4 linked regions of the Struthio camelus genome follow. Each later gene encodes a partner of the first gene's protein in a complex. Links are inferred from orthologs where the notes say so. Each region holds a gene or a part of one and is shown in the gene's direction. Other genes may lie near its edges.

Evidence for each region.
Region 2: CDK2AP1 (region 1) and MTA2 share a complex: the UniProt entries of both Homo sapiens proteins name them as parts of the nucleosome remodeling and deacetylase (NuRD) repressor complex. The link is inferred for Struthio camelus from reciprocal best matches to the Homo sapiens genes CDK2AP1 and MTA2.
Region 3: CDK2AP1 (region 1) and MTA1 share a complex: the UniProt entries of both Homo sapiens proteins name them as parts of the nucleosome remodeling and deacetylase (NuRD) repressor complex. The link is inferred for Struthio camelus from reciprocal best matches to the Homo sapiens genes CDK2AP1 and MTA1.
Region 4: CDK2AP1 (region 1) and CHD5 share a complex: the UniProt entries of both Homo sapiens proteins name them as parts of the nucleosome remodeling and deacetylase (NuRD) repressor complex. The link is inferred for Struthio camelus from reciprocal best matches to the Homo sapiens genes CDK2AP1 and CHD5.

What each region holds. Positions count from the first base shown.
Region 1 is NC_090958.1:16,837,067-16,844,735, forward strand, and holds the start of CDK2AP1 (cyclin-dependent kinase 2-associated protein 1), read left to right. Parts: upstream 1-4,654; 5' UTR 4,655-4,981; coding exon 4,982-5,048; intron 5,049-7,669. UniProt on the Homo sapiens protein: Inhibitor of cyclin-dependent kinase CDK2. Also acts as a component of the histone deacetylase NuRD complex which participates in the remodeling of chromatin.
Region 2 is NC_090976.1:523,873-530,778, forward strand, and holds the start of MTA2 (metastasis-associated protein MTA2), read left to right. Parts: upstream 1-3,901; 5' UTR 3,902-4,032; coding exon 4,033-4,060; intron 4,061-5,736; coding exon 5,737-5,804; intron 5,805-5,903; coding exon 5,904-5,997; intron 5,998-6,156; coding exon 6,157-6,274; intron 6,275-6,392; coding exon 6,393-6,456; intron 6,457-6,548; coding exon 6,549-6,666; intron 6,667-6,756; coding exon 6,757-6,859; intron 6,860-6,906. Other genes in the region: EML3 (echinoderm microtubule-associated protein-like 3), read left to right, coding at 64-162, 249-379, 2,868-3,047. UniProt on the Homo sapiens protein: May function as a transcriptional coregulator. Acts as a component of the histone deacetylase NuRD complex which participates in the remodeling of chromatin.
Region 3 is NC_090949.1:9,500,660-9,508,438, forward strand, and holds the start of MTA1 (metastasis-associated protein MTA1), read left to right. Parts: upstream 1-4,777; 5' UTR 4,778-4,957; coding exon 4,958-4,985; intron 4,986-7,779. UniProt on the Homo sapiens protein: Transcriptional coregulator which can act as both a transcriptional corepressor and coactivator. Acts as a component of the histone deacetylase NuRD complex which participates in the remodeling of chromatin.
Region 4 is NC_090962.1:908,628-915,767, forward strand, and holds the start of CHD5 (chromodomain-helicase-DNA-binding protein 5), read left to right. Parts: upstream 1-4,130; 5' UTR 4,131-4,195; coding exon 4,196-4,259; intron 4,260-6,050; coding exon 6,051-6,181; intron 6,182-7,140. Other genes in the region: RPL22 (large ribosomal subunit protein eL22), read left to right, coding at 911-1,035, 3,764-3,908. UniProt on the Homo sapiens protein: ATP-dependent chromatin-remodeling factor that binds DNA through histones and regulates gene transcription. May specifically recognize and bind trimethylated 'Lys-27' (H3K27me3) and non-methylated 'Lys-4' of histone H3.

The sequences.
Region 1 (7,669 bases):
CGGCAAGGGCAGCCGGCTGGCTGGCGGCAGCGCCCCGGCGGCGAGCACACGGCAGGCACGCCGGCCCCGGGCTCGGCTGCGATCGCTCCGCTCTCGGCCACCGAACAGGTTGAGGAGCTCGCCCACGCGGGGCCGGGATGAAAGCGCGGCTGCGAGCCTCCTCGGAGAACCGCCGGCTCCCGGCGCATCACCCGCCCCGGGCGCCCGCGCTGGGGCTGGGCCGCCCTCCTTGGCACCGCCGGGCGGGACGCGGCAGCGGGAGGACGACGGGAGCCCAGCCCCGGCGGCGAGCGGGGAGAGGCCTGCCCGGAAAACCGAAGGGATGGGCGCCTCGGGAGCGAGGGTTCGGGGAGGCCTGGGAGGAGGCTCAGTAGCTTTATCCGCCTCTTCTCAACACGCAGAACGAGGCCGCTACCTGTCCGGGCTGGTTTTCGTTGGCATCTGGCTGGTTTTGATCCCGGTGCTCGTTTGGCAAAGCGCAAAGAGGAAAAACTCTCCGGAGGGAGTTTCCAGACCTGGGCTTTGGTGGCCGAGGGCTTGGAAACTTCCCGCTTGCCGCCTGCGGTCCTCCAGCGAGACCTCCCGCCGGGGCAGGCGAGAGCGGCTGCCGCTGCCGCAGGGCTGAAGCGAGGGCGGCGTTCAGCTCTCTGCCTTGACCGGTCCCAGTCTCCTCACTCACCTTTAAAGATGCTGGGTTTTTTCTTCCCCTTCCCGTACAGGCCACCGCCGAGGCAGCACGTCCCGCGCCAAGGCGGACGGAGCCGGGAAGGAGCCAGCGGGCAGCACCGGCGCGGCGACGCCGAGCAGCCGCCGGCCCGGCGGGGCCCTTCCCTGGCAGGAGCACAACAGGCTCTGGAGGAGGAGGAGGAGGAGGAGGAAGAAAACAAGGCTGGAGGGGGGGGGTGAAAGGCGCTCCCCATAATAACACAGCATCTGGCCTGGGAGGAACCCAGCGAAATTGGGGAGTGGGACCGGGCTAGGCAAAATTTATCTGGAAGAGGTTAAGGGGAAAGCCTGCCTGGAGCAGCCAGGAGTTGTTACACCCGAAAGAAGTTATACGCTGAACTGCAGCAACGCTCCTCGAGCGGGCCGGCTGCGAGGAGAGGTTTCCCCCAGCCCCGGCGCAGGGCGGCTGCTGCGGGGTTGCTGCCGGGGGTGCTCCCCGGGGCTCCTTCCCGCTGCAGGGAGCGATCCAGGCCTTCCCGGCGTATTTGGAGGGCTGGGGAGAAAAGGCGCCAGGGAGCCATGAGGACGCAGCGTGTCTGCTGGCGGTTGGGGGTTTCTGGCGCGTTCTGGGGCAGTAAGCAGCAAGCGTCACCCGGAAAGCGGATGGAGCAGCAGCGGGACACCGGGGCTGCCAGCTTTCCCTCTGGAAGGAGAACGGCAGCGCCGCGGGAAGCCCCAGCGACCGGATGAGCTCCGCAGCCTCGCCGGGCTGCGGGGAGCAGGCGCGGAGCTACCGTCTGTGTCTTGACAGAGGCCAAACCTGCCCCCTGCTCAAGCCTTTAGGAGCTGCTTTTTCAGCCCGCGAGGGTCAGAGCCTCCTGGCTTCGTTTTGGACGATCGTTTCAGTTTTGGCACGAGAGGGCGGCTCAGGGACTTGCGGATTGAGTTGATACCCAGAAACTTGCAGGTACCTCTACTGTGTTTATGATTCTGCCTCCCGGGAAACTTGGGAATAAATATTTTAATACAAACTGATTTAAACGTAAACTCCTTCCCGCGAAAGGGACGTACTGCCGGTCTCCCTCCTCTCGCTGCTGCACGTGTCTCTGCGACAGGCGGAGGACGGCCAGGACAGCCACAAGTCACTTCATTTATTAAACTTGTCAACAGTTAATTACATTGAAATTAACACACAAACGTAACGTTTTGCACAGGTCAAAGCCATGCCAGGGGAAGCCGGTGTCTTGCTGTCCCGTCTTTCATGCTTTTCATCGTTAATTTAATCCCAGACGAGAAGGAAGACGACGAGTTTGCACTCCCCGAGTGCAGGTCTCCAAGCGTTTTGGGGCATCAGAGGTGAGAAAGTGAAACCAGCAGCGGGAACGTGGGGAATGCAAAGAAAAACAAGGGGGGAAAGGGGGGAGGCTGCAGGTCCGACACGCCGGAGAGGCAGCAGCACCTGCAAAATACAGGAGGTTTTGTGGCCGTGCCCGGAGGCACCTGTGGATGCCGGAGAGAGACAGGCTCCTCTCGCTGCCTTTCCTCCCTCGCTGAAAACCGTAACGCGCACGCATTTATTTCCAAGTTGCTTCTCACTGGAGAGGAGGCTTGGAAACGGGACAGCTGTGGTAAAATGGCTCTGCCGCAGGACGCCGGGGTCGCTCGTGACCGCGGGCTGCTATGACCATCAGTAGATGGGGTTGTGCCGTCAGGCGGCAGCGCGGAGCAGCAGCGCTGCCGGACCGCGGTTTCGCCCCGCCGCAGGGCTTGGGCGCTCGGGGCAGCACGCGCCGGGCAGCCCCTCCGAGGCAGCTCCGGGCCACGGTCGCCTTGCTAAACCGTCAGCCCCGGGCCCAAGCGCCCCGGGGGTTTTACCGCTGTGGCCACAGCCGGGTCGAAACAACCGAAGCGGATGCACGGAGCGCCCGACGGAGAGGGACAGCTCGCAGGTACCTCCTGCCCGAGGCAACTTCTGCAAAGACAGTGAGACGCAGCTAGTCAAGCCCGCTGGAGCTTGCTTCAGACGCCAAAAAGCCAGGTTTTACCCGGGTCTGGTGTCATGCATTGCCGCTGACGTAAAAATCTGGGTATTGCGGAGTTCCCGCTTTCAGCACAAATAATTTGGCCCTGCAAACTTCCCTGCCGCGTGCTAAGTCAGTTTGCTCCGGAGCGGGAAGCGTCTGCAGCAGCTCGTGCAGAAGAAGGGATGGCCTTACAGGATCGGTCCCTTAAGCCGCCCACCTCGAGATACCACTGAAGGAATACTGCGTGTTTTTAAGCCGTCATTATAAAACCGAAGCGAAACACAGGGGATCTTGTTCTCCGCAGCGCTGCTCTGAGTGCAGTTTTGTAGGGTTGGTGCAAAGCCGTGAAAAACACGGCCAGCTCTGAACCCTCCCATTTCGCACTGTCTCGGTGTTACTGTAAACAACGGCGGAGCAATGGAAAATCCCAGCGCGGCGTGCCCCCGCGCCTGCAGGACTGCGCCGGCCGGCCGGCGGCCGCACAAAGGCAGCCAGTTACACGTCCCACCCAAAAGTTAGCGGGGGGCACGGTTCGGTATTTGCAGAGCGCCAGGGTTTAGCAGTGCGATCTTTCAGGACGCTCACGAGAATTACGCCGGTAAAGCTTCGTGCACTGGTGTGAAAATACCGTTATGGAGCAGGTGACTCCACGCCGGAGGCGCCGGGGCGTCCGCGCCGGCAGGCTGCAGCGCCGCTCGGTTGCGCCAAGGGCGGTGTACGCCGTCCGGGCTTCACCACGAGCGCTGGGAACGGAGATAACGTGCAAAACCGTAACGCGGTCGCGTGTTTTACCCGGTACGGGGCATGGTTTCTAGACACTTCTTTGATGCGGTGTGCAGGTGTTAGGGTCGGAGGCTCGAAAGCCGGCTCGCTCTTCCCGCTGCGTCTCGGCTCGGCGGAGGGAATCACCCAGCCGCTCCGCGACTCGCCTCCCCCCCGGCCGGTCTCTGCCGCAGAAACGCCGCCCGCGTCCCTTCACAAAGCAGCCCAACGCGGCGGATGCTGCAGGCCTGAATTAGCGCGGCCGCTTCCAGGGAGCAGGATGGAGCCGCCTGCGCTCGGGGTCGCAGGCGCCAGCTAACGGCGATACCGCACGGCACGGGCGTATAACAGCAACGCCTGTGACTGAAGTACCCCAAACTGCCCCGATTCCAGCGGGATTTCCTGGCGAAGCGCGGGCGGGCTGGGGGGGCTCGGGCCGCGCTGCCGGCCCGGAGCGGCTACGCCGGCGTAAATCCGGAGAAACGCGGCAATTGCAGAGGCGCATTTGGATTCGCGTAGGGGATGAGCGCACCCGAGCGTCCCACCCCGAAAGGATAAACTTCGGAGAGGCGGATAAAACCGAGAAATAATTTGTTTATTTGGGGGGGGGTGAAGAGAGGGGGTACATCCCACTGCTGTTCGCAAGCAGAAAACGGGTCAGTCATGGACTAGATTTGCATTTATTTGTTAAATCCCTCCATGGCTGCAATCTGCTATTAAACCTTCAGCCTTCCAGCGAGCCGAAAGAGTAGTTTTACTAATAATAATTAAAAAAAAAAAATTGTTTTTTTTCCTTCGCGGCACCAGAAAATTTCCACTGAAGATCTGAGGGAGCGGGGGGGGAGGGTACAATCAACAGGTATTTCCCATCCAAATTGGCGGCGAGGGGAATAAATCGGAGGTGAATAGGTAATTACGGGTTTTTTTTGGGGGGGGGGGGGAGGAAGGGGCGCCTCGGCGGCGCGGAGCCTCTTCGCCGCGGACAGGGGCGCCCGCCGCCGCCGGGCGATCCCATTTCCACGAGAAGTTGAGCCAAAACTTTGCGAAGTGAATTAACCTCTCCCCCCGCCTCAACCGACACCCATCTCCCCCCACCCCCCCTCGCCCCGCCACCACCTCACCGCCCGCCCCGCGCCGCCGCCTCCGTTCCCGCCTCGGCGCCCGCGCGGCCCCTCGCGCCGCGCCGTCCCTGAGGGGAGCTCGCGCCATTGTCTGTGAGGGGATGGTCGCGGCACCCCCCGCCGCCGCGGCACCCCCCGCCGCCGCCGCTCCCGCCGCCGCCTCCGCGCCCCCGCCGCCGCGCCGAGGGGCGCGGGGCGCCGCGCCGCCGCCGGCTGCCTCGTCTCCCCTAAAGTTTTTGGATCCGCGTCTCCTCATGATGTATGGATGATATATTGCATTGTGGGTGTCAATATAACTGACGGCCATATTTGCCGGTGCTGCTACTGCTGTAAACAACCCAAAGTGTCTGGGAGACGCCGAGACGCTTCGCTGGATTTCAGGACGTTTTTCTCCTCCTGCCGCTGGCCATGTCGCTGGGAATGTCTTACAAACCCAACTTGAACGCCCACCTCCCCGGGACTCCCCTCACCCCGGGTAAGTCCGCGGCGGCAACTGGGCGGCAAGTTTGGGAGGCGTGCGGCGGGGCTCCGCCGTGCCGCGCCGCGCCGCGCCGGCAGCCGGGGCCGGCCCCGCGCTCGAGTTTTTTGTCCAGCCCGCTATGGCGGGGCAGCGGCTCCGCGCCGGCTCCGCGCCGCCATTACCAGCGCCCGCCCGCCCGCCCGGCGGCGCCGCCGCCGCCGCCGCCAGCCCGCCTCGCCTCGCCTCGCCTGGCCGCGCCGCCCCTCCGCGGGGGCGCCGCGCCCGCCGGGCCGGCTCCGCACCGCCGCCGCTACCGCCGCCGCTCCGGGGCTCCGGCCGCCGGCTTTCCTCCATGCTCGGCTCCCCGGGGCGGCTGATTGATCTGGATCAGGAATATTCCGCCGGCGCCTCAGCGAGGACCGCTGCTGGCGGGACGCCGCAAGTGCCGCTCGCGCCGCTCCGCGCCGCGCCTCCCGCGCCCCGCCGGCCCCGCTCTCCTCAGGGGCAGCGGCGGCCGCCGGCCCAGGGGCGCCCCGGCCCCGGCCCCCCTCGCCGTGCCCCCGCGCCGTCTCTCCGACCCGCCCCGCTCGCCTGGAGCCTTTTCTTTCTTTTTTTGGGGGAGAGGGGGAGGCAGGAATCGCTCTTTATTTCTTCCCAAACCCCTCTTATTATTTTTTTTCTTCCTCATTGGATCTGTAGAGAAGTCCCAACTTTCCTCTCTAAAAAAGTTTTCCTTGATGGGATTAACTTTTTTTGTTTTGTTTTGCTTTTACCCCCCCCCCCCCTTGATTTATTTCATTTCCAGCGGTAACAGGCAGTGAGGGGTTGTGCTCAGGGTGAGGTGTTGGCTGTGAGAGTGGGTCTGGGTGTCGGGGTGCATATACATCGCGCGTATACATTGGTGAAGTCCAAACAAAGCCACAGCGGCGATTGCTCCGCTCTGGGGTATTTGGAGGGGAACTCACTAATCAGTGCACCCCGGCTAGTATTGAAACAGAACCAAAATGGAGAAGTTGGTTCTGACTTAAAAAGAAAGACAAGAAAAAAGAAACCATATTCCCGTCTCCCTTTCCCACAGCTCCAGCCTGCAGGGCTGGCACCGGCCGCTCTGCAGGCAGAAATACGACTGATGTTTTGAGAAGGGAAAGTTTTGCTGTTTGGTTCAGGAGGGAGAGGGAAATTTGCCTCGGGGATTTTACAGCACTGTTTGCGGTTGTGTTCCTGGGATATGGATAGACGAAGGGGATTAAGGAGATGCACCTCTATTCTCACTACCGGGAGAGCGGCGATTGCATTTTACTGTAAGGAATTGGCACCAGCCGGTGATGGAGCTGAGGTCCCTGCACCTCCAACTCCTACGTGCAGGGCAGCTTCGATCCTGCGGGGAGCTGAGCCTGGTGGGGCTGCGCGTGGGGAAACTTGGCGTGTGCAGGGAGCTCCCTGAGCCTAAGTGCCGCTTCCCAGGGGGGCCAGGAAGCAGGAGATGTGCTAGGATTTGTGACAAAAAAGCAGAAGTGTCACCCCCCCCCCCAAAAAAAAAAAAAGCCCCAATGCATGAAGCACCGCAGGGGAAATGTTTCTCCCATGAGAACCTGTGCCTTGCTTTCTGGAACAGCTGTAAAATTGCAGGGGAAACAAAGGTAGTATTTTGTAGTGGTGCGTGGCGGGGTGGGGATTAGGTGGTACTGGGGGGGGTCCAAGTGTGGCCACGCCGAGCGGGAAGACTGCAGGATCCCGGTCGAATGCCGCTCACAAAGCAGCCGAGGGGTGAACTTCTGCCTCCGGTCCTCCTGCTGCCGTGTCTCTGTGCTTTCTAATGCTCCGGCTGCGATCGGGGTTTTAGATTCTTTCATGCAGTTTTCATCTTTCCTTTATTATTATTATTATTATTTTTTTAACATTTTGTTTTTCTTCCCCTTAATGGCAAGACAGCAGCAGTTTGCTGTCATGCTGGGACTGTCTAACTTGTGCTCTCTCCTGAGTTTAGATCACCCTCAACACCCCTAGGATCTTTTCAATGAAAAACCGTCCTCCTCAGAATCCAAAATGGGCTCTCTCTTCCCTCCCTGTCTTCTGCCATTATCCTCACGCACCAGCTCTTCCTCTAGCTAGTGGTATTGCCAGCACCGTGGCCTAAGGCCAAGGGAGTTAGACAAAGCAGTCCTTGCAGTTGCACATATCGCATTCAGAGTGATATGACTGCAAATGGCCCCCTCCTCGCTGGAGCTTAATTCTGAGTTGAAGGAGGTTGCTTCTCTATTGTGTCTAAATTAAATGCCACTGGCCAAGAGGAAAAATCCGAGGTTTGCTTCCAAACCTGGGGTGAAGGAACCCCACCCCCACCCCCCCGTCCTGCAGAGGAGAGGAAAACAGGAAATCTGTCCTTTTTGGCCTGAGATCAGCCCTGCAGAAGCCTCTCTGTGTGAATGCTGAATATTTTGGTCTCAGCTGACAGAAGGGCTCTGGCCAGCTGTGGATCTCACAGGGATTTTCCTCTGGGAGATAATGCTGCTTCTCTGCACTGCAGGGCTTCTGGTGCAGGAGAATTTGGAAAGGCAGTGTGGCAGCTCCGCTCCTGAAGCAAGCTGTGTCCTTGCTGCAGAGCTAACTCCTTTCAAGTTTAGGCTGAGAGTGGC
Region 2 (6,906 bases), on another chromosome or scaffold:
GGGCTCGGGGTGGGGTGGGGGGGACGCTCCGCCGGCGCCTCCCTCCGCCCCCCCGGCCCGCAGGGGACGTGGCCGGCGGCTGCAAGCTGCTGCGCAACCGCTTCGAGAGCCGCGACCGCGAGTGGGCCACCTACACCTGCGTGCTGGGCTTCCACGTCTTCGGTAGGGCCCCCGCGCGTGCACGCGTGTGCGTGTGCCCCCCCCCCGCCCCCCCGGCCCCCCGGCCGCGCTCACGGCGCCCCGCGCAGGCGTCTGGCCCGACGGCTCCGACGGCACCGACATCAACTCGCTGTGCCGCTCGCACGACGAGCGCGTGGTGGCCGTGGCCGACGACTTCTGCAAGGTTCATCTCTTCCAGTACCCCTGCGCCCGGCCCAAGGTCAGCCCGGGGCGCCCGTGGGCCGGGCACACGCGTGTGCGGGCGGTGGGGGGCATGCACACGCGTGTGCGGGTGGGGGGGTGCACGCACATGTGTGTGCGGGGAGGGAGGTGCATGCACACGCGTGTGCAGGGAGGGGGGGTGCATACACATGTGTGCGGGGAGGGAGGGTGCACGCACACGCGTGTGCAGGGAGGGAGGTGCATGCACACGCGTGTGCGGGGAGGGGGGTGCACGCACACGCGTGTGCGGGGAGGGAGGTGCATGCACACGCGTGTGCGGGGAGGGGGGTGCACGCACATGTGTGCGGGCAGGGAGGGTGCACGCACACGTGTGTGCAGGCAGGGGAGTGCACGCACACGCGTGTGTGGGGAGGGGGGTGCATGCACACGTGTGTGTGCAGAGGGGGGGTGCACGCACACACGTGTGCGGGGAGGGGGGTGCACGCAGACGTGTGCGGGGAGGGAAGTGCATGCACACGCGTGTGCGGGGAGGGGGGTGCATGCACACGTGTGGGGGCAGGGAGGGTGCACGCACATGTGTGCGGGCAGGGAGGGTGCACGCACACGCGTGTGTGGGGAGGGGGGTGCACGCACACACGTGTGCAGGGGGAGGGTGCATGCACACGTGTGTGTGCAGAGGGGGGTGCATGCACACGCGTGTGCGGGGAGGGGGGTGCACGCACACGCGTGTGCAGGGTGGGGGTGCACGCACACGCGTGTGCGGGGGGGGTGCATGCACACGTGTGCGGGGAGGGGGGTGCACACACACGCGTGTGGGCGGTGCATGCACGCGCACGGGCACAGGTTTGCGGGGGGGAGGCGGCGGGAGCACGTTTGCAAAGGGAGCGCGCGCACACGCGTGTGCAAAGGGAGGGCATGGTTGTGCGCACGGGGAGAGTGTGTGTGTGTGCATGTGTGCAGGCATGTGTGCACAGGGAGGACACGCGTGCGTGTGCGCACGGGGAGAGCGTGTGTGCACAGAGAGGACACGCGTGTGCATGTGCACAAAGAGAGCACGCATGCACGAGAAAGATGTGTGCGTGTGTGCGCGTGGGGAGGACACGTGTGCGCGTCTGCACGAGGAGACCATGCATGCGTGTGCAGAAAGGACGTGTGCGTGTGCACGAGGAGACCATGCATGCGTGTGTGCGCAGAAAGGACACACGTGTGCATGTGCATGGGCAGAGCCTGCATGCGTGTGTGTGTGTGTGTGTGTGTGCATGTGTGTGTGCAGGAAGGACACGCGTGTGCACGTGCACGACCAGAGCATGCACGTGTGCGTGTGTGTAGGAGGGACACGCGTGTGCACAAGCAGAGCATGCATGCACGTGTGTGTGTGTGTGCAGGAAGGACACGTGCACGCGCGTGTGTGTGTATTAAGGACATGTGTGTGCGTGTGCACGAGGAGAGCCTGCATGCACGTGTGTGCATATGCAGGAAGGACATGCGTGTGCGTGTGCATGAGCAGAGCATGCACGTGTGCGTGTGCAGGAAGGACACGTGTGTGCCTGTGTGTGCAGGAAGGACACACATGCGCGTGTGTGTGTGTGTGCAGGAAGGACAGGTGTGTGCGTGTGCAGGGGCACAGCACGCACGTGTGCGTGTGTGCAGCAAGGACACACGTGTGTGTGCGTGCGTGCAGGAAGGACACGCGTGTGCGCGTGCGTACAGGAAGGACGCGCGTGGGCGTGTGCACGAGCACAGCATGCACGTGTGCGTGTGTGCAGCAAGGACACACGTGTGCGTGTGTGTGCAGTAAGGACGCGCGTGTGTGTGTGTGTGCAGGAAGGACACACGTGTGCATGTGTGTGTGCAGCAAGGACACACACATGCGTGTGTGCGTGCAGGAAGGACACGCGTGGGCGTGTGCATGCAGGAAGGACACGTGTGTGTGTGCGTGCAGGAAGGACACGTGTGTGTGTGTGCACAAGCACAGCATGCACGTGTGCGTGTGTGCAGCAAGGACACGTGTGTGTGTGTGTGTGTGTGTGTGTGTGTGTGTGTGCAGTAAGGACACGCGTGTGCGTGCATGAAGGACGCGCGTGGGCGTGCAGGAAAGACGCGCGTGGGCGCGTGCGTGCAGGAAGGACACGCGTGTGCGTGCAGGAAGGACGCGCGTGGGCGTGTGCACGAGCACAGCATGCACGTGTGTGTGTGTGCAGGAAGGACACGCGTGTGCGTGCAGGAAGGACACGCGTGGGCGTGTGCACGAGCACATCATGCACGTGTGCGTGTGTGCAGCAAGGACACGCGTGTGCGCGTGCGTGCAGGAAGGACGCGCGTGGGCGTGCAGGAAGGACGCGCGTGGGCGCGTGCAGGCGCAGAGCGGGCGGCGCGTGCCGGCCGCGGGGCGAGCAGGCTCGTGCGCATGCGCGCGGGCGGGCGGGCGGGCGGGGGGGGGCGGAGGCAGGGAGGGCGGCGCGCGGGCGTGGCCTCGCCGCCCCGCCCCCCGGCCCATCCGCCGGTGCCGACGGCCGTGCGCGCAGGCGCCGAGTCACGTGTACGGCGGGCACGGGAGCCACGTGACCAACGTGCGGTTCAGCCACGACGACGCGCACCTGGTGTCGCTGGGCGGCAAAGACACCAGCGTCTTCCAGTGGCGGGTGCTGGGCGGGCCGCGCCGCCGCTCCCTGCCCGGCCCCGCCGACGGCCCCGAGCCCGCCTAGCGCCCGCCCCAATAAAAACCCGGCGGCACCGCCACCCTCCGGCTCCTCCCTCCTTCGCCGCCGCCGTTCCCGAGCCGCTTCCGCAGCGGCCCCAGGGGACTCCCGAAAGAGCCGGGGGGGGGGTCGGGAAAGAGCCGAGGGGGGGTCGGGAATAGCCGAGGGGGGGTCGGGAAAGAGCCGGGGGGGCTCCGGAAAGAGCCGAAGGGGCTCCGGAAAGAGCCGAGCGGGGCCCGGAAAGAGCCGAGGGGCCCCGGAAAGAGCCGAGGGGCCCCGGAAAGAGCCGAGGGGGCTCCGGAAAGAGCCGAGGGGGCTCCGGAAAGAGCCGAGGGGGCCCCGGGAAGAGCCGAGCGGGGCCCGGAAAGAGCCGAGGGGGCTCCGGAAAGAGCCGAGGGGGCTCCGGAAAGAGCCGAGGGGCCCCGGAAAGAGCCGAGGGGGCTCCGGAAAGAGCCGAGCGGGGCCCGGAAAGAGCCGAGCGGGGCCCGGAAAGAGCCGAAGGGGCCCGGAAAGAGCCGAAGGGGGCTCCGGGAAGAGCCGAGGGGGCCCGGGAAGAGCCGAGGGGGCCCGGAAAGAGCCGAGGGGGCTCCGGAAAGAGCCAAGGGGGCTCCGGAAAGAGCCGAGCGGGGCCCGGAAAGAGCCGAGGGGGCCCCGGAAAGAGCCGAGCGTCTCCGGAAAGAGCCGAGCGCGGCCCGGAGAGAGCCGAGGGGGCCCGGAAAGAGCCGAGCGGGGCCCGGAAAGAGCCGAGGGGGCCCCGGAAAGAGCCGAGCGTCTCCGGAAAGAGCCGAGCGCGGCCCGGAGAGAGCCGAGGCGGCTGCGGAAGGGCCCGAGGCCGCGCCGAGCCCGCGGCCGCGCCGAGCCCCCTCCCGAGCTGCCCGAGCGGGTCGCGCCGGTGCGGAGGCGACGGGAGGCGGCGGCGGCGGGAGGCGGCGGGAGGCGATGAAGCGCGGCCCGGGTCGGGCCCGGGGGTAGCGCGGCCGAGCGAGCGGCCATGGCGGCCAACATGTACCGCGTCGGCGGTGAGCGAGGGGCCGGCGGCGGCGGGAGGGCGGGGAGGGATCGGGGGGGGGTCTGTGAGGGGGACGAAGGGGGATCTGGGGGGGTCTGTGAGGGCGGGGGGGGATCGGGGGGTGTCTGTGAGGGGGGGAAGGGGGATCTGGGGGGGTCTGTGAGGGGGGAAGGGGGATCTGGGGGGGTCTGTGAGGGGGAGAAGGGGGATCCGGGGGGGTCTGTGAGGGGGGGGGTCTGTGAGGGGGGAAGGGGGATCGGGGGGGTCTGTGAGGGGGACGAAGGGGGATCCGGGGGGGGTCTGTGAGGGCGGGGGGGGATCGGGGGGGGTCTGTGAGGGGGACGAAGGGGGATCTGGGGGGGTCTGTGAGGGGGAGAAGGGGGATCCGGGGGGTCTGTGAGGGGGAGAAGGGGGATCCGGGGGGGTCTGTGGGGGGGGGGTGTCTGTGAGGGGGGAAGGGGGATCTGGGGGGGTCTGTGAAGGGGAGAAGGGGGATCTGGGGGGGTCTGTGGGGGGAGGGTCTGTGAGGGGGAGAAGGGGGATCCGGGGGGGTCTGTGGGGGGGGTCTGTGAGGGGGGAAAGGGGGATCCAGGGGGGGGATTTGTGAGGGGGGATCTGTGAGGGGGGGAAGGGGGATTGGGGGGGGTCTGTGAGGGGGACGAAGGGGGATCCGAGGGGGGTCTGTGAGGGGGAGAAGGGGGAGCCGGGGGGGTCTGTGGGGGGGGGGTCTGTGAGGGGGGAAGGGGGATCCGGGGGGTCTGTGAGGGGGAGAAGGGGGATCCGGGGGGGTCTGTGAGGGGGGGGGTCTGTGAGGGGGGAAGGGGGATCGGGGGGGTCTGTGAGGGGGACGAAGGGGGATCCGGGGGGGGTCTGTGAGGGGGAGAAGGGGGATCCGGGGGGGTCTGTGGGGGGGGGGTCTGTGAGGGGGGAAGGGGGATCCGGGGGGTCTGTGAGGGGGACGAAGGGGGATCCGGGGGGGGTCTGTGGGGGGGGTCTGTGAGAGGGGAAAGGGGGATCCAGGGGGGGGATTTGTGAGGGGGGATCTGTGAGGGGGGGAAGGGGGATCGGGGGGGTCTGTGAGGGGGACGAAGGGGGATCCGGGGGGGGTCTGTGGGGGGGGATTTGTGAGGGGGGGAAGGGGGATCGGGGGGGAATCCGGAGGGGAGAAGAAGGAATCCGGGGGGGGGGATCCGTGAGGGGAGGAAGGGGGATCCCCCCATTTTGGGGATCCGTTGTAGGGGGGAAAGGGGGGATCCCCCCATTTTGGGGCCCCCTTAACTGTTAGAGGAGGGAAGGGGGATCCGTTGTGGGGGGGGAGGGGGAATCTGAGGGGGGAGGAAGGGGGATCCTTGGGGGGGGGATCCCCCCATTTTGGGGCGCCCTTAGCTGTTAGAGGAGCACAACCGCGACATAAAGGAGAGGGGCTGGCGGGGGGGGCCGCGAAGGGGGCAGAGGAGCCCCCTCCCCATCAATGTGTGTGTGTGTGGGGGGGTCCGTTCCCCCCCCCCAACAGCCGGACGGAGCCCCCCGCGCGCAGCAGGGGCGTTGGCGGGGGGCGCGAGCCCCCCCCACCCCCGGGTTTCGGAGGCATCCTGCGGGGCGGGGGCTGCGCTGGGACACCCCCCCCGCCCCAGCGAGCCCCCCCGCCCCAGCGAGCCCCCCGCCCTGAGCCTCTTCTCCCCGCAGACTACGTCTATTTTGAGAACTCCTCCAGCAACCCCTACCTGGTGCGGCGCATCGAGGAGCTCAACAAGGTGAGGGGCCGCCCGGCTTCCCCCCCGCCCTGGGGGGTGAAATGAAGTGTGGGGGGGGGGGGTCCCGCCTGCCTCCCGCTCAGCGCCCCCTCCCCGCAGACCGCCAATGGCAACGTGGAGGCCAAGGTGGTTTGTCTCTTCCGCCGGCGGGACATTTCCAGCAGCCTGAACAGCCTGGCCGACAGCAACGCGCGTGAGTGCGGGGCGCCGGGGGTCCCCCCCTCCAACCCAAGCGGGGGCAGCCCCTTCCCCGACGGCGGTGGGGTTGTGGGGGGGGGGCGGAAGGTGTTTTTTTGGGTGGTGGTGGGGGGGGGAAGGCGTCTTTGGGGGCTGACGCCGGCGCTGCGCCCAGGCGAGTTCGAGGAGGAGTCCAAGCAGCCGGCCATGACGGAGCAGCAGCGGCACCAGCTCAAGCACCGCGAGCTCTTCCTCTCCCGGCAGTTCGAGTCGCTGCCGGCCACTCACATCCGGTGCGTGCGGCGGCGGGGGGGGGGGACAAGGAGGGAGGGGACAACAGCGGGGGGGGACAGCGGGGCGCCCCCCCCCTCCCCGGCGGCGGGGCCGTGAGCCCGGCCTGTGCGCCCGCAGGGGGAAGTGCAGCGTGACGCTCCTCAACGAGACCGACATCCTGGGCCAGTACTTGGAGAAGGAGGTGAGGCCTTGCCGTTTTGGGGTGGGGGTGGGGGGCCCAGCCCACTGCGTGCCCCCCTCACCTTCCTCCCTCCCTCTTCTTCCTCTTCCCAGGACTGTTTCTTCTACTCGCTGGTGTTCGACCCCGTCCAGAAAACCCTCCTGGCCGACCAGGGCGAGATCCGGGTCGGCTGCAAGTACCAAGCGGAGATCCCCGACCGGCTGGCGGAGGGTGAGGCGGCGGCGGGGGGCCGGGAGGGGTGGAGGAAGGCGGTGGGGGGGGGGTCTGCGCTCCCCCACCCACCCCGTCCCCGTCCCCCAGGCGAATCGGACAACCGGAACCAGCAGAAGATGGAGATGAAAGTGTGGGACCCCGACAACCCGCTGACCGACCGGCAGATCGACCAGTTCCTGGTGGTGGCGCGGTGAGCCGGCGGGTGACAGTGGTGGCGGGCGACGGCGGCGGTGGCGG
Region 3 (7,779 bases), on another chromosome or scaffold:
GCAAAGGGGGCTCTGAGACGCGTTTTCGGGGTTGTCTCCAGACTGAGGCTGCGGTAGCCTGCAGCTGGGTGGGGGAGAGGAGAGGCCGGGGCCCCCGGGGCCTGCTCCTTGGAGGGGGCCCAGTGCGTCGGGGCGTGCGGGGCAGAGCATGCCCAGGCCCTGCTGGGGAGGGAAGAAGGAGAGTCGAGCAGCCAGCTTGGGGCAGAAAGGTGCAAAGAGGGGAGCCAAAAGCAGCTGTTTTGGGGAAAGGGGCCCATGGCTGCAGCCCCCAAGGCCCTGCCTCGGGTGCCTGCTGCTGCGCCCTCTGCCAGGCGAGGGAGGAGGCCAGCCAGGGCGGCTGGCGATGGAGCAGGGGGCTTCAGGGAGGGTTCTGGCAGGGGCCAGGCTGCTCCCGAGGCAGCTCTTGATGGATGCCTCAGCTTCTCCGTACTGGCTGGCTGGCTAGCCAAATTTGCCTCTGTGGCTTGCAGCCATCCTGCATCCCTTCCTTTGCTGGGGGAGGGGACACAAGAGTCTCCCAGCAGCGTCCCAGTGGTCGTTTGCCCAAACGGCACCGAGCAGGGATGGGGTGGCCCCAGGCAGGTACATAGCCAGGGAAAGGACAAATCTGGGACTCGCCGGTACACAGGCAGCAACGCAAGCCATCAGGAGGGCCCGAGCGCTGGCCAGAGAGGGGGAGCACCGTAGGGCAGCTGGGGGAGAGGCAAGTGGTCCAGGCTGTATTTTGGCTATGTATTTTTTGCACAGGTTCAGCTGTAAACCTGCAGCAAGGGCCCAGCCACGCGGAGGAGGCTCAGCCTGACCTCTCTCTGGCAGGCTGGGCCCACCTCGTCGTGCCCGGCTCCCGCAGCTCGCTGCACGGCGGCCTGCAAGGCGTTGGCACGTCCCAGCCACTGCCTCTGAGCTTGAACTGGCAGATATTTCCCTTTCCCTCTCCACTTGAGTTTTCTCTCTTCCCCGTCAATCCTCCCTGCTTACACCCAGTTGGGACAGCCTGTGTCCCGGCGGTTCGGGGCAGGAGAGGGTTGTGACGGCAGCAGGCAATGCGTTTCTAGAAATAGCCTGTGTTAGTGCCAGCGTGGCTGGTTGTAGGGTGGCGGGTAAGGAAGGGGGGAGGCGGCGGTGATTCAGCTTTGCCAGTGCAGCTGGAGCTGTGTCCAGTTTCCGATTGTGCATCCTGGTGAAGGAGCTATAGCTCTGCGCGCTACAGCAAGGGGTACCGGCACCGCTCTGGGGGCACAGCCGCCCTCCCAACCGCAGAAGGAAAACTCCCCCTCTGGAGGTGGGGGAAAGCAGACCTCTATCCTAGGCAAACCTGCAGCGTGGCTGAAATGCAAATGTTTCCCAAGGCCGCTGTGGAAGTGGTTTAAGGAAGACGCAGCATGTGGCCAGGAAGGCAAGCTGAAGCTTTCCAAGCGGGAAAGTCACGCTAGGGTAGCCATGGACGGCTGTAATGTAGCGCTGCTCAGCTGTGCCAGACTTCGATGCAGTGGGGGACAACGAGCTTTCCCTTCCAGGGACAGGAGAGCGTCGTGAGTCCAACCAACCCGGACAAACACATTTGAAGGAGCAGGATGGATTTTGGCCACCTAAACCTATGGAAGTCCAAAGGGATCCCACAAAAATGTCGGTGTGCCACGCAAGCAGCAGCGCAGAGCCAGGTGCGTGGTGGCCCACCTGCCTCGACGTTGGCCTCGTTGCCCTCTCTTCCAAAGGGCTGACCTTTCAGTCCCTGTCCCTTGTCACTGAGGTGCTCGGGGGGGGACGGGGGACAGAAAGCTCAGCAGGAAAATTCCAGCTGCTACCGTGCCCTGGAGAGCTGTCCTGGGGCAGGGAGCAGCAGGGGGGTAGCAGCAGAGAGGGGTGGCGAGCAGAGCAGGGGCAGAGAGGTTGGTTTGGGATGAGGGTGCATCAGGGGACCGCCTAGTCCATTGGTCTAGACCAATGCACCTAGAAAGTTCTCCTCATGCCCACGCGTGCTGGGGAGAGCTGATTTCTGTGGGGCCATCTTGGACAGGCTGGCATCTTCTGCAGGTCTCGGCTTTTCTTGGTGGCTGTGCCCTCTCCGGGCTGGGCCGACAGGGATCCAGTGCAAGAGCTTCCCTGTCACAACAGACAGAAAACCTTCTCGAAGGACCAAGCTTGCTACAGGAGGAGCGCTGGTGGCACGTACCGGACTGGGATTTTGGTGGCGGGAGACAGGGCGTTGCAAAACCCAATGCCTTTCCAGGCTGTGGCTGCTGGAGCCACGTCCCCTCCTTTCCAATTGCATAACATCCCAGTGGCGACCACAGCTATTGCTCAACGTGGAAGAGTAACAGCAGGGAAGTTCTGACATGTTTTTGTTGCTATCGTTTAAAAAACAATTTAGTGTCTGGAAAGAGCAGTCAACACCACGTGAGCGGCCACTTCTTCGTGTGCAACTACCAAGTGCCCCATGATGCGATTTGTAAATATTTATTCTGGATAATTTTTCTGTGTCCTACTGAATTATTTTCCGCTCTGCAGAGTGGTTGCAGAAACAGCCTGGGGAGGACCAGGCCTCGCGCCTGGCGTGCGGGCAGACGTGTCCCGCGGGTACCGTAGTGTCCCCAGAGGCCAAGTCGCTCATGCTCGGCTCTGCTGGGGAGCTCGGGAAAGGCAGGAACACGGCGCGGGCACGGGCGGCCCCCGGCGTGCTGGACTAACCCTTAGCTGACCGGTTTCAGCCCCAGAAACGCTCTCCTCGCTCAGCAGCGCTCCTTGCCTGTGTGGGAAATATGAAAGCAGAACAAATCCGAATGGCCCTACTGCGGTCACTGGGGTTTTTTTTTTAACATATAAAAAAGAATTTAAGCCAACAAATCATTCTCTCTTAAATACACGTATTTTGGCAGGTGTGACAACTTTGGGCAGTCTTATGGGACTCCTTGAGGATGTCACGACAACCGGGGTTGAGAGCGCGGGTGGTTGGCCCTGCTCAGCCCTGGTGAAACGTGCGGCTTTGGCTAACTGCTTCTTCCGCGGCTGCGGAGAGTTTTATTACACGTATTTTTTGGCTGATGAATAATTTCCCCAGCAGCAGGCCGAGGTGCCACCGCGAGAGGTGTGGGACGCGGGGCGCCCCCAGCCAGGCAGTCGGGGTACCGGTTACGGGGTGTTCCCAAACGCGTGGTGCATCAAGGTGTGCAGCTGCATGGGGTGTCAAGAACAGGGGTACAGGTGGGGGGACGTGGTGTGTGTGAGGAGGGGTTGTGCAGTGATGCCCCCTGGGAGGGGCCACACTGCCTGTGCCAGGGCAGCTGTGTGTGCGGGTGTGAGGAGGGCTGTGTGTGTGAGCACAGGCAGCGCACGTGGAGAAGGGCTGTGTGTGTGGGAGGGCTGTGTGTGAGGAGGGCTGTGAGGAGAGGTGTGTTTGAGTACAGGAGGGGTGTGTGTGTGTCAGGAGAGCTGGCTGCTGTACAGGCAGTTGTGTGAGGGTACAGGTGGGCTGTGTGTACAGAGGGCTGTGAGGACAGGTGGAGTGTGAGGGCACAGGCAGGGTGTGTGCACAGAGGGCTGTGAGGACAGATGGAGTGTGAGGGTACAGGCAGGCTGTGTGCACAGAGGGCTGTGAGGACAGGCAGGGTGCGAGGGTACAGGCAGTGTGTGTGCACAGAGGGCTGTGAGGACAGGCGGAGTGTGAGGGTACAGGCAGGCTGTGTGCACAGAGGGCTGTGAGGACAGGCGGAGTGTGAGGGTACAGGCTGGGTGTGTGCACAGAGGGCTGTGAGGACAGGCGGAGTGTGAGGGTACAGGCAGGCTGTGTGCACAGAGGGCTGTGAGGACAGGCGGAGCGTGAGGGTACAGGCAGTGTGTGTGTGCAGAGGGCTGTGAGGACAGGCGGAGTGTGAGGGTACAGGCAGGGTGTGTGCGGAGTGCTGAGGACAGGCGGAGTGTGAGGGTACAGGCCGGATGTGTGCGCAGAGGGCTGTGAGGACAGGCGGAGTGTGAGGGCACAGGCAGGGTGTGTGCACAGAGGGCTGTGAGGACAGGCGGAGTGCGAGGGTACAGGCAGGGTGTGTGCGGAGTGCTGAGGACAGGCGGAGTGTGAGGGTACAGGCCGGATGTGTGCGCAGGGGGCTGTGAGGACAGGCGGAGTGTGAGGGTACAGGCAGGGTGTGTGCAGAGGGCTGTGAGGACAGGCGGAGTGTGAGGGCACAGGCAGGGTGTGTGCACAGAGGGCTGTGAGGACAGGCGGAGTGCGAGGGTACAGGCAGGGTGTGTGCGGAGTGCTGAGGACAGGCGGAGTGTGAGGGTACAGGCAGGGTGTGTGCACAGAGGGCTGTGAGGACAGGCAGAGCGTGAGGGTACAGGCAGGGTGTGTGCACAGAGGGCTGTGAGGACAGGCGGAGTGTGAGGGTACAGGCAGGGTGTGTGCACAGAGGGCTGTGAGGACAGGCGGAGTGTGAGGGTACAGGCCGGGTGTGTGCGCAGGGGGCTGTGAGGACAGGCGGCGTGCCTGAGTACAGGAAGCAGAGGGCTGTGAGGCCAGGCGGTGCGTGGGCACAGGCGGTGCGCGGGGGCCGGTGCCAGGGGCTGCGGGCAGGCCCCGCCGCAGGCCCCGCCGCCCGGAGGAGGCCGGCCCGGGCTCTGGTGGTGCCGCCGCCGCCGGCGGGCGGGCGGGCGCGGCGCTCGCCGCCGTCACATGGTGCGGGCTGGGCGGCGGGGCCCGCTCCTTCCCCCCCCGCCCGCCGCCGCCGCCGCCGCCGCCCCGGCCCTCGCCGTGCCCGCGCCGCCGCCGCCCCGCCCTCCGCCGCCCGCCCGCTCGCCCTCCCCTCGGCGGCCGGGCGGCAGCCGGCGCGGCCCCTTTAATTCCCTCGCTCCCCCTCCCCCGCCCGGCCGCTCCAGCCTCCATTTTCCAGCGGATCCGGCACCTGGAGGCGGCGGCGGCGGCGACGGGAGCGGCCCGCGTCCCGCACCCGGCCCCGTCCCGGGCATGGCCGCCAACATGTACCGGGTCGGAGGTAAGCGCCCCGCCGGGCCCCGGCCCCGCGCGGCCGCGCCTCCCCGCGTGCCAGCGGCGCGTCAGGGGCCGCGGCGGCGGGGCAGGCCCGGCCCGGCGGGCGTGGGGCGCGCTGGGGGCGCGGGGCGCCGTGGGGCGGGTGCGGGGGGTGGGCTGTGGGGCCCGCTGGGGTGGGCAGGAGTGCGGGGTGCGTGTGGGGTGGAGGGCAACGTGGGGTATGGGGTGGTCTTGGGGCGGGGTGTGGGGTGGGTTGGGGTGGGGGGGAGCCTGGAGATAGGGTAGGTGGTGGTCTTGGGGTGGGGGGAGCGTGGGGACGGGGTGTGGGGTGGGGGGGAGCCTGGAGATAGGGTAGGTGGTGGTCTTGGGGTGGGGGGAGCGTGGGGACGGGGTGTGGGGTGGGGGGGAGCCTGGAGATAGGGTAGGTGGTGGTCTTGGGGTGGGGGGAGCGTGGGGACGGGGTGTGGGGTGGGGGGGAGCCTGGAGATAGGGTAGGTGGTGGTCTTGGGGTGGGGTGGGGGGCAGCTTTGGAAGGAGTTGCATGGGGAGGGAGGCTGTTGAGGCACGAGGCAGGGACCTTCTCGGTGGGGTGGGGGCGCGAGGTAGGTTTGGGGTGTGGGTTTTGGGGCTGGAGCAGGCTGGGGAGAGGTTAGGTGGGTGGGAAGGCTGGTGCCTGTGGGGTGTGGGTGGCTCTGGGGTGGGGAGAGGCTGAGGAGGAGGCAGGTGGGCGCAGGGCTGCTGGAAGAGGATGTGTGGGGCGAGGGTGGATTTGGGTTGGAGGCTGGGGGTTTGGGAAGGGGACAGGACTGGGGTGCTGGGAGGGGGGGATCGGGTCCGCGGGGTGTGGGTGTGTGGGACGCACACAAGGAGCGCTGTAAGGAAGAGGGCTATGGAGGGTGAGGGGGTTTTAGGTGGGAGTAAGTGGGGCAAAGGGCTGTTGTGGGGGCGGTTTGGGGAGGCTTTGTGTGGGCAATGGGGCTTGGAGTTCCTGTGTGAGGTGGGGGCGGATACGACATGGTGTGTTTGGCATTGTGCAAGGTACAGGGTGTGGGGCAGAGGTGAGGAGCCATCTTGGGAGGGTTGGGGATGGAGAAGAGCCCTGCCGAGCTTTATGAGGCTGAGGAAAGTAGGGGCCTGCTCTGTGTATGAGCTGTGCGGGGGGGAGTCGGGGGGCTTGGAGAGAGAGGAGTAGAGGGCAGATCTGGGATGAGGGCATGGGCAGGAGGGGTGGATTTCTGGAGCAACCTATGAGAGCAAGACCAGAGACCATGGGGAAACAGAGTTAGGGTTGGGGTGGAACGAAGGGTCGGATGACTGTTTAGACAAGGGTTATGTGAGGTTGTAAGGGTGGGGACGTACAGGGAGTTGCTGGGATAAGAGCAAGCCTAACGATAGGCTGAGACTACTGGTAGACTAGGGCAGTTGCATGAAGCAAGTCCTGCTGATCTTGGCCTTCCCTTCCATTCATGCTGTTTTATTGTATGCTTTCCCATTAGTCTTCTGTTCAGAGCCTTGCGCTCCTGTCTGATTGTCCTTTGTTTAAACTCACGTGAAGAGAAAGGAGAGGCAACAGGGTTTGGGATTGAATTTTATGGAATATAAACACTGAGGGTGGTCTGGCATGAATTTGTGTTCAGCCATTTTCCTTCATAAAAGCTGTTCTGTGGAACTTCCTTGTTCCTTGAACCATAGGATCTAAGGGAAGATATTTTGGTGGGGGGGGGTCCCTCCTTTCAAAGTACTCCATTCTTTTGGAGTTCTGTAAAAGCAGGGTAAAGTAAACAAGGGGAAAATATAGTGAAGGTGGCCAAGCCATCCTGTCTGGCTACTCTCCATCAACAACTACTTTCAATTCTTTCCACTTTTCTGGCCTACCCTTACTTTGTACTCTGAAAAATGTCACGTTTGTTGTCACATTTATACTTTTTTGCTGGTTGCACTTGGTGTCGTGAAGGGATAAGATGTGCATCTTAGCTGTCCCAGCTTTGTTTCTTGGGTTGCTACAAGTTGGTTGTGTGTGTGTGTATAGCATTATGTGGGGTTAGAAATGCTGAGAAGTAGAAAGATGAAGGGCAAAATGTGCTGTAGGAGTTTACAGTTCAGTTCCTGGTGTGACTTGCAAAGGGAATTGTTTCCTGGGAATTGTTGTTTGGTATTTAAGGTTACAGGCATTAGTCTTGCACTGAATGTGATCTCTAGTATTTTGTGTGTCAAAACCTGGACTGTGCTCCCCATAAAATCATGTAGGTGGGAAGAGACCTCTAGAAATCTCTAGTCCAACCACCTACTAAAAGCCATCCAGTTAGAGCAGGATGCTTGGGGCTGTGTTCAGTTGAGTTCTGAACGAAGGATGGTGATGCCTCTTCTTCTCTGGGCCCTCTTCCAGTGTTTGACCACCTTCCTGGCAACTTGTTTTCCTTATGTCTGGTTGGAATTTCTCATGTTCTGACATGTGTTCATTGCCCCTTGTCCCCGGGAACCTCTGAGAAGAGCCTGCCCCTGTCTGCTGGTTGTAGACAGCAATAGCATCTGCCCCGAGCCTTTTCTCCCCCAGGCTGAACAAACCTGTCTCTATTGGCCTGTCTTTGTACATCCTGTGCTTCAGCCCCAACCACCTTGGTAGCTCCACTGGACTTGCTCCAGTATGTCACTGTCCTTGTCTTGGGGAGCCCAAACTGGATGAGCGCTCTAGATGGTCTCAAGCGCTGAGCAGGAGGGATAGGATCTCTCCCCTCGCCCTGCTGCTTGTGCTCTTGTTAACCCAGCCCAAAATGCCACCAGCTTTGCTGCAATGGTAC
Region 4 (7,140 bases), on another chromosome or scaffold:
ATCAAAAGAAAAAAAGGCTACCCTTTTGCTGCAGCCCTCAACTCAAGGTTACAAGAACTTACCTGCGCATGCGTGTTACGGGGAGGAGGGGAGAAGGAACTGAGATAGATCCTAACTCTGGTTAGAAAGTGCCTCTGTGTCTGATCTGAACTTTATTCCTTTGTGTAAAAGGAAAGCCTGTCCTTGGATTGATAGATTTAAGTTGACAAGCAGAAATGTTGCTTGGAAAGTAAACTTGTCTCTTATTCCACACGTGCATTTTCTTTAAGAGACAGCTGTTCCAAGTACTATTCATATCTCATTGCAACATCTAAATAGGCTGTTTAGCAAACGGCATAGTTATGTAAATAAGAGTATTATTATTTTGTAAACAATTTGTAGTTAGTTAATTTTCTTTACCTGCTGAACAATATCTAGTATTTATAACTTAGACAGCTAGTTTTCTTTTAAGCTTTAAGAAACAGCATGTGAGGACAGCAATAAGTTCCATAATTCTCTCTGACAGATATCTTATGAAGCTGTGTTTGTATACAAGGAGAATAGGTTTGAAACAAAAGGTTCGGGGTAACACTTTTCTGAGAATCACAAAATAACCTGTATTTTGACTGTCATCTCAAAAAGCAGAAAATATTAGTGACATAAGAAAACAACTTAGTTCTTTCACAGTTGGGAAAGTCACTTATGTGCAGGTCTGAATGGGCCAGTTTGAGCCAGCAGGAGTAGTCATGCAACGTATTTGTGGGATCAAAACCTACCTACCTGCTTTCCTCTGCTTGTCATTGCTGTGTGACTATCTCTCTTTCCTACTTCTAACCGAAAAGTCAAAATGGTCAGTGCAAACGAGCTGCAAAACCCCTCGGTCCTTTGGAGCTGTCAGCCCTGGCTAACCAGTCGCACTCTTCCCTTGCAGGAGCAGTTCTTGCAGGAAAGAATCAAGGTTAATGGCAAAGCTGGTAACTTGGGTGGGGGTGTGGTGACCATCGAGAGGAGCAAGAGCAAGATCACTGTTACTTCAGAGGTTCCGTTTTCAAAGAGGTAAGGACACGGGGCACCCGCAGGCGATTCGGACAGGGCAGGCTGGCAGCGCAGCCTGTTTCTCTGGAGCGCTGCTGCAGTCCTCCGCTAGCAGCGGGGTGAATCACCGTCACGTGGCATGCTTCAGTGTTTGTGTGAAGTTGCAGGCAGCTGCTCAGGATGTTGCCCCTCATGGCAGTAGTGGCTGCTGACATCAGGTAGCCCTGTTCTTGCAGTCTCAGCAACGGATCTGTGGTGTTAAAACGGTGCCCTTGATGTCAGACTTGGCTCTGGCTGTTAGGAGGGTGTTGTGAAAGGTGCGCTGGGATGTCTGCTGTTTATCTGGTCTTTTCTTTGGATACAAAGACTTCTGGGCCGCTGTTTATGATAGCCGGTGAAGCTAGCTACACGAGTGCTCCCCCGCCTGCTTTTTGATGACACGCGTTGCTAGAAGGTAGTTCATTTTCTCCAAGTTGTGGTGCTTGGTAAGAATAAGCTTCTAAGACAGCATCTTTCAATACTAGTTCCCAGGGCCACAAGACAGGAAGCTCTTCCGTAAAATCCTAATGCATGGGGAAACACTGGAGCTAATGAAAAGATGTCTTGGCACATAAGTTGTACCAAGTCCTGCTGACTTCAAAGTATACTGCTTGAGAAATGGGACATGGTGACTATTTGTTTCTAAGTGATCTTTAAGAAGGGTACGTGGTTGAAAATCTTTCTTGGAAGGCAAGCTGAGTTGAAAAGCAGTGGAGGATCTACCCCTCCTGCAAAGATGCCAAATGTGGAATTTTAGAGACTGATAAACAGCCAAACTCTTCCACTACTGTAGTGTTACCTTTATCCTGCTGGACTTCTGCCATTTGCCCAGTTCTTATGTTTGCCTAATATCTCTGCCCTTGATTTGGCTTTGATGAATTCAGTTTTATGCTGTAGATTACTTTCCTGTAAAATTGTTTACATCTCCAAATCTAAATCACAGCTAGCTCCTCTGGAGAGTAAATGCAGGTTATCTGTTTTTTATCAAATCAAGCATTTTTTGGTTTTGATTTATGTGTATTAAGTGAGGCTAAAGGTGGGTTTTACAATGATGTCTTCGATCAGTATTATGAATAAAAAAGTCTATTGGGCATTGCTACATAAATCATGCAGCCAAAATGAATTGGCAAAGCCACGTCATGTTTTTAGTTTAAAAAAAAAAAAAAATCCTGACTCTAGCTTGCAATATATTTCCCTTAAAAATCATGCTTAAAAAGCAGCCTGACCATTTTGGCATTCAGTAGTTATTCTGTTTAACCTGGTCTGCTGGGTTCAGTGACTTGACTGTGTTCGCAGCATTATCCTCCACTGCAGCTGCTTGGCACTCTTAGATGCGGACTTCTGTTCCGGCTCATGTCAGAGGATATGTGTCTTGGAGTTTTTAAGGAATTAAGAGATGTGCGTCTGCCATTTCTTAATGAACTGATGCTTTTCTTCAGCTTTTGTTGTTGCTGGGACTTATGTACCCGCTAGTAGTTTAGTCTTCACGTGCCAAAGTTTGAGGTTTTAGGTTTGAATCATAATCGAGTAACGACCGCTGTGTGTTGGGAATCAGTTGCTAATATCGGCCCTACTAAAGTAGGGAAAGATAAGTTTGTTCTGCATGTTCCTGTTTTCCCAGTCAGCTGTCTGCAATCTTTCTAAAAAGAAAGGTTAGGTTAAGAGAACTCTGAATACTTGTGAACTATACCAAAACCTAAATGTTTTGGCCAAACATTCAACAGAATTTGGCCCACCTTCTGTGGGCAAGAGGTTTGAGCACTCTCAAATTATCCCCCCGCCTCAGTTCTGGGATTGCAAACTACACTTGAAAGTCTGTAACTTGCTGTCTTACATAGATTGCATAAATATATTGATATACACTTTCTCCAGATTACTTTTCAGCAGTGGCGACTGCAAGCATGGCAGCTGGAGATGTAAAATGATGGAAAGTGTAAACGGCACACATTGGCACCAGCTGGGTTTGCTTGCTTGCAATCCCGCAGCCTCCGATTGCCACGCTTGGGAAGCGTAAGCGCTTTGGCCCGAGCGGTTCTCTTTGCATCGGTGTGGGATCTGGCACGCTCCGGGCAGTGCTGTGGAAAGCGCGCAAGGAGGTGAAAGATGGCCAGCTACTATACTATCCTGGCGGTGTTAGCGCCGCGTTGACCTGGGGCTTATTTGGTGCTGTGGAAACGCAGTTGGTGCCTCGCTCTGTTTGCATAGTAGCAAGCTTGGCCTCGGAGGGTGAAGAGGGAACGCAGCTCCCTAGCCTTGGGTCTCGGGTGCTGGTGGTACCTCCGGCAAGGGGCAACGTGTAGCTGACAGTGCTGTTCCCGAGCACCAGCGTCTCCTGGCCGACGCCGCTCTGGGATGCGTCGCTCCGCTGTTGGAGGAAGTTGTCCTGGGTGGGGCCTGCGCGGTTTAGCCTGTGGTGTCCGATGTTGGGAATTGTTCTCGGTGCACGTGGGATTCGGCTTGTGTGCCCTTCCCGTGCGAGCTGGAGCTGAAGAGGAGCGTCTTCAGAAAGGGCTTATGAAGCGCTGCTAGACGAAAACGTGGAAGCACTTTGAACCCACGCGCTTCCTTTGCGCTTCGGCGAGCGAGGCGCGCTCGTGCCACCCGGATCGCCGGCCCCTTCCCGGGCCGGGAGCGGGGAGAGGCCGCGGGGCTGGGCGGCGGGGCGCGGGCGGCGAGCTCCGCGCGGCTGAGCGCCCCTCTCCTCTTGCAGGTACCTCAAGTACCTCACCAAGAAGTACCTGAAGAAGAACAACCTGCGCGACTGGCTGCGCGTGGTGGCCAACAGCAAGGAGAGCTACGAGCTGCGGTACTTCCAGATCAACCAGGACGAGGAGGAGGAGGAGGAGGAGGATTAGACGCTCGCGCCGACCTCGACATATTTTGTACAATACGTTTCGCTGAATAAAATGTGGGAGGAATTGTTAACCGGGCCGTCTTTGGCGACGCCGCGCCGCGCCGCACGGCCGCGCGCGACACCGCGCCGCACGGCCGCGCGCGACACCGCGCCGCGCCGCACGGCCGCGCGCGACACCCCCCCCCCACCGCGGGCGGGCGGGCGCGCGCGGGGGGCGGGGCGGGCGCCATCTTGGTGCCGAGCTGCCGCAGCCCGGCGGGCCCGGGCCGGCGCTCCCCGCCGCCCGGCATGCGGGGGCCGGCGGCCGGCGACGAGCTCCCGGGCGACCTGGACAACGAGGAGGACGTCTCGGGTACGGGGGGGGGGGGGGCGGCGCGGGCGGGCAGGCGGGCCCGTCCCCCCCGGGGCTCGGGGGGTGGAGGGCCCCCGGCGCGGCCCCCTCTGCGGGAGGCTCAGGCCGTCGGCCCGGGCGCCGGCGGCTGCTCGGGGCCGGGGGGTGGGAGCGTGGGCGGCTTCCCTCGGTCTGCGGCCGTCGGAGGATAGCGCGCCTGCGAAAGCCGTCGCGGTCGCTGCCTCTCCTCCCCGTTTCTCGCTTCAGCTGCCGACGGTTTCTACGTGGAGGGTTAACTGTCAGCAAATGGACTGTGGTAATCGCTCTTCGGGCAGAGGTACTGAATGTTTGGCCGAGTGGCGTATTTTTGCCCACAGATTACCAGACGCCCTTCCAGTGGATGCCATCGTTTCTTTAGGTTAAGGGAAATAAAGCAAACCCAAAGGGAAGTACAAAGTCTGCGCTGCAGAGAGCTTTTTCTCCTCCTTGGCTCCGCTTGGTTTCTGTTGGGCTCTACTTCTGTTGTGCCTAATTAGTGCATTTGTAGTACCTTTAACTTGCTCCTGTGTTTACGTTGCTGTTCCATGAAGAGGCCTCCAGCAAGGGGGTGTTTTAGCGAGAGGAGCAGGTAGGAGCACTTGAACTCGCTTGAGCCATTTCCTTTGGCTTTGACAAATTGTCTCAATAGTCAAAGTCAGAGGTGGGAAGCTTGCAAATTCTTTCTCTGAATTGCCACTGCATCCTTCTTCATGGGGTTTAAGGCCCTCCCTTTTCCCCCAAAAGACAATTTTTCTTGTCTTTCTGAGGACAGTTGTGGGTAAAATGCAGCTTTTCAAAGATCCTTCTGCATGTGACCTATAGGCTGAGAACTCTGTTCTGGTGCTGCTTAGGGCAGATGAGACTGGTCCCGTGAGAGGTGGCGAAGGTGTGCTCCTAGCGCTGCGGGGCTCCCTCCGTTCCTAACGCGCTCCGCTGAGATGGAGCTTAGGTGCTTGTCTTGGCGGAGCCTACGCTGCTGTCGTTTGAGGATGAAAAAGAAGTCTGTCTGGTCTTATGAGACTGGACTGTTATTACCATATAAGTTTAGAGATTTTGAAAGTAAATGAAAAAATCAAATACTGAGCTAGATTTTAAGGAAATGCAATGATTTGGCGAAATACCAGGACTCATTAGTCATGGTATTGCATTTGGGGAGATGATGATGACGGGAAAAGAAAAGTGTGAGCCTGGCTTCTCTGCGCTGGCAGGGAGCGGCAGAGAGATGAGGTGCAGGGCCAGGTCCCTGAACTAGCTGCGCTCTGCGGCATGCAGCTGGGTCCCCGGCAGTCCAGCAGCGGGAGCCACCAGCTGCTGAGTGTGCATGATCCCTGAGCATGGAGCCACGGCAGACCTCCAGTGAACCGCAGCGTTGCCCCTTCTTCCATGCGAGGCTTCATCTTCGCTCTGCATATGGTATACGGAGGGAGGAGGTCACTGGCGGAGAGGCTGCCTACCTCTCTCTCATTTGCCTTTAATTGAATCAGTTTTAATGGGCTCTGTTTGGAAATCTAAAAGATAAAAAGCCTAATGCTTCCTAATTACCTACCAACCAAAATCAATAATAGCAGGCAGCACATTAGGGCGTCTTGATGCCCCTGTCTCAGCAGAGGGAAGTTCCCCCACCTCAGAAGCGTGGGCTCGTGGCTTCAAAGCACGAGCCAGACCGTGAGGGGTTCTGTGAGGCTGGTCACTGGGGAGAAGAACAGACTGCCTTTTGCTCTGGCCTGCGTGTGTGTGAAATCCATCTGAGTAAGTTGTGCCTTTCCTCCTCAGAAGAAGATGATGGGGTCCTGGAAGGACTGGATGAGTTTTACCCAGAAGAACAAGTCGCTGTGCAGAAAAAAAAGAAATCCAAGAAGCTGAAAGACAGCAAGGCTTCCAAAATCAAGAGGAGGAAGAAAGAGGTAATGCTGCATGCTCTAAAATGAGGCTGAGGGTTTCCCGTTAGGCTTGACATAGGGGCAGACTGCTCAGGAGAGCCATAGTAGCTGTTTGCAAGCATTGCGCAGAGGTCTGTGGCTGAAAAAGGCTAGGCGTTTATAAGGATGCAACAGGTGGATGTGAGACACCTCATCGTAGCTCGTTCTCTGGATGTCTGGGTACTCCCCTGACCCTGGCAGAACGTTGAGAGCCAGGGCTTGAGCAGCTCTTGCCCAATTCTGATGCTCTGTTGTTGTCGCTTCTGTGCTTTGTTTTCCTCACAGTACGTACAGGATAGTGGCTCATGCGTGGAGAGAAGAGTCTATAATGTAAGTGTGAGGATGTTAATGCCCTGTTACAAGCAGGCGCTCTCAGGCATGAGCTATGCAGCCAGTCTGAGGAGATAGATGTTGTCTCCAAAAGATGTTGTCTCTGACCTTGGAATAGCACTGTCTGAAACTGGCTGTCAGGTGTGGATCAAGACACTTTAACTTATATGGGAAGAGCTGAAAACTCTCTTGTTTTCTCTTTATCTCCCTGAGATCTTCTCACGTGATATGGGGAAACTGGGAAGATGTGCCTGCAAATCCTTTTCTAAAGATACTTGTCACTTGATCCTACCTGGGTGGCTTAGGATTTTAATTCTGCAGAAGTAGCATCCACAATTTCTTGTGTGCTGTTTGCTCTTTGTTTCAAATAACTATTACAGCAGAAAGATCCTGTTTTAGCTTTACGTTTTTGTTTCTGAAATGGTGGAGATTTTTAATTTGTCAAATGCGTTGCCCAAAAAAAGAAACAAACGGTGTGGAAATTTCCACTGTGCAACACATCAAAGCGGCGCTTAGCCTTCATTCCACTTAGGCAGCCTTAATCTGAACCCATCTTTCCAGCCAGCTTGGTCAAGGGTGAGGAAGCTCACCCTGGAAATGGGTATGGTAAAGGT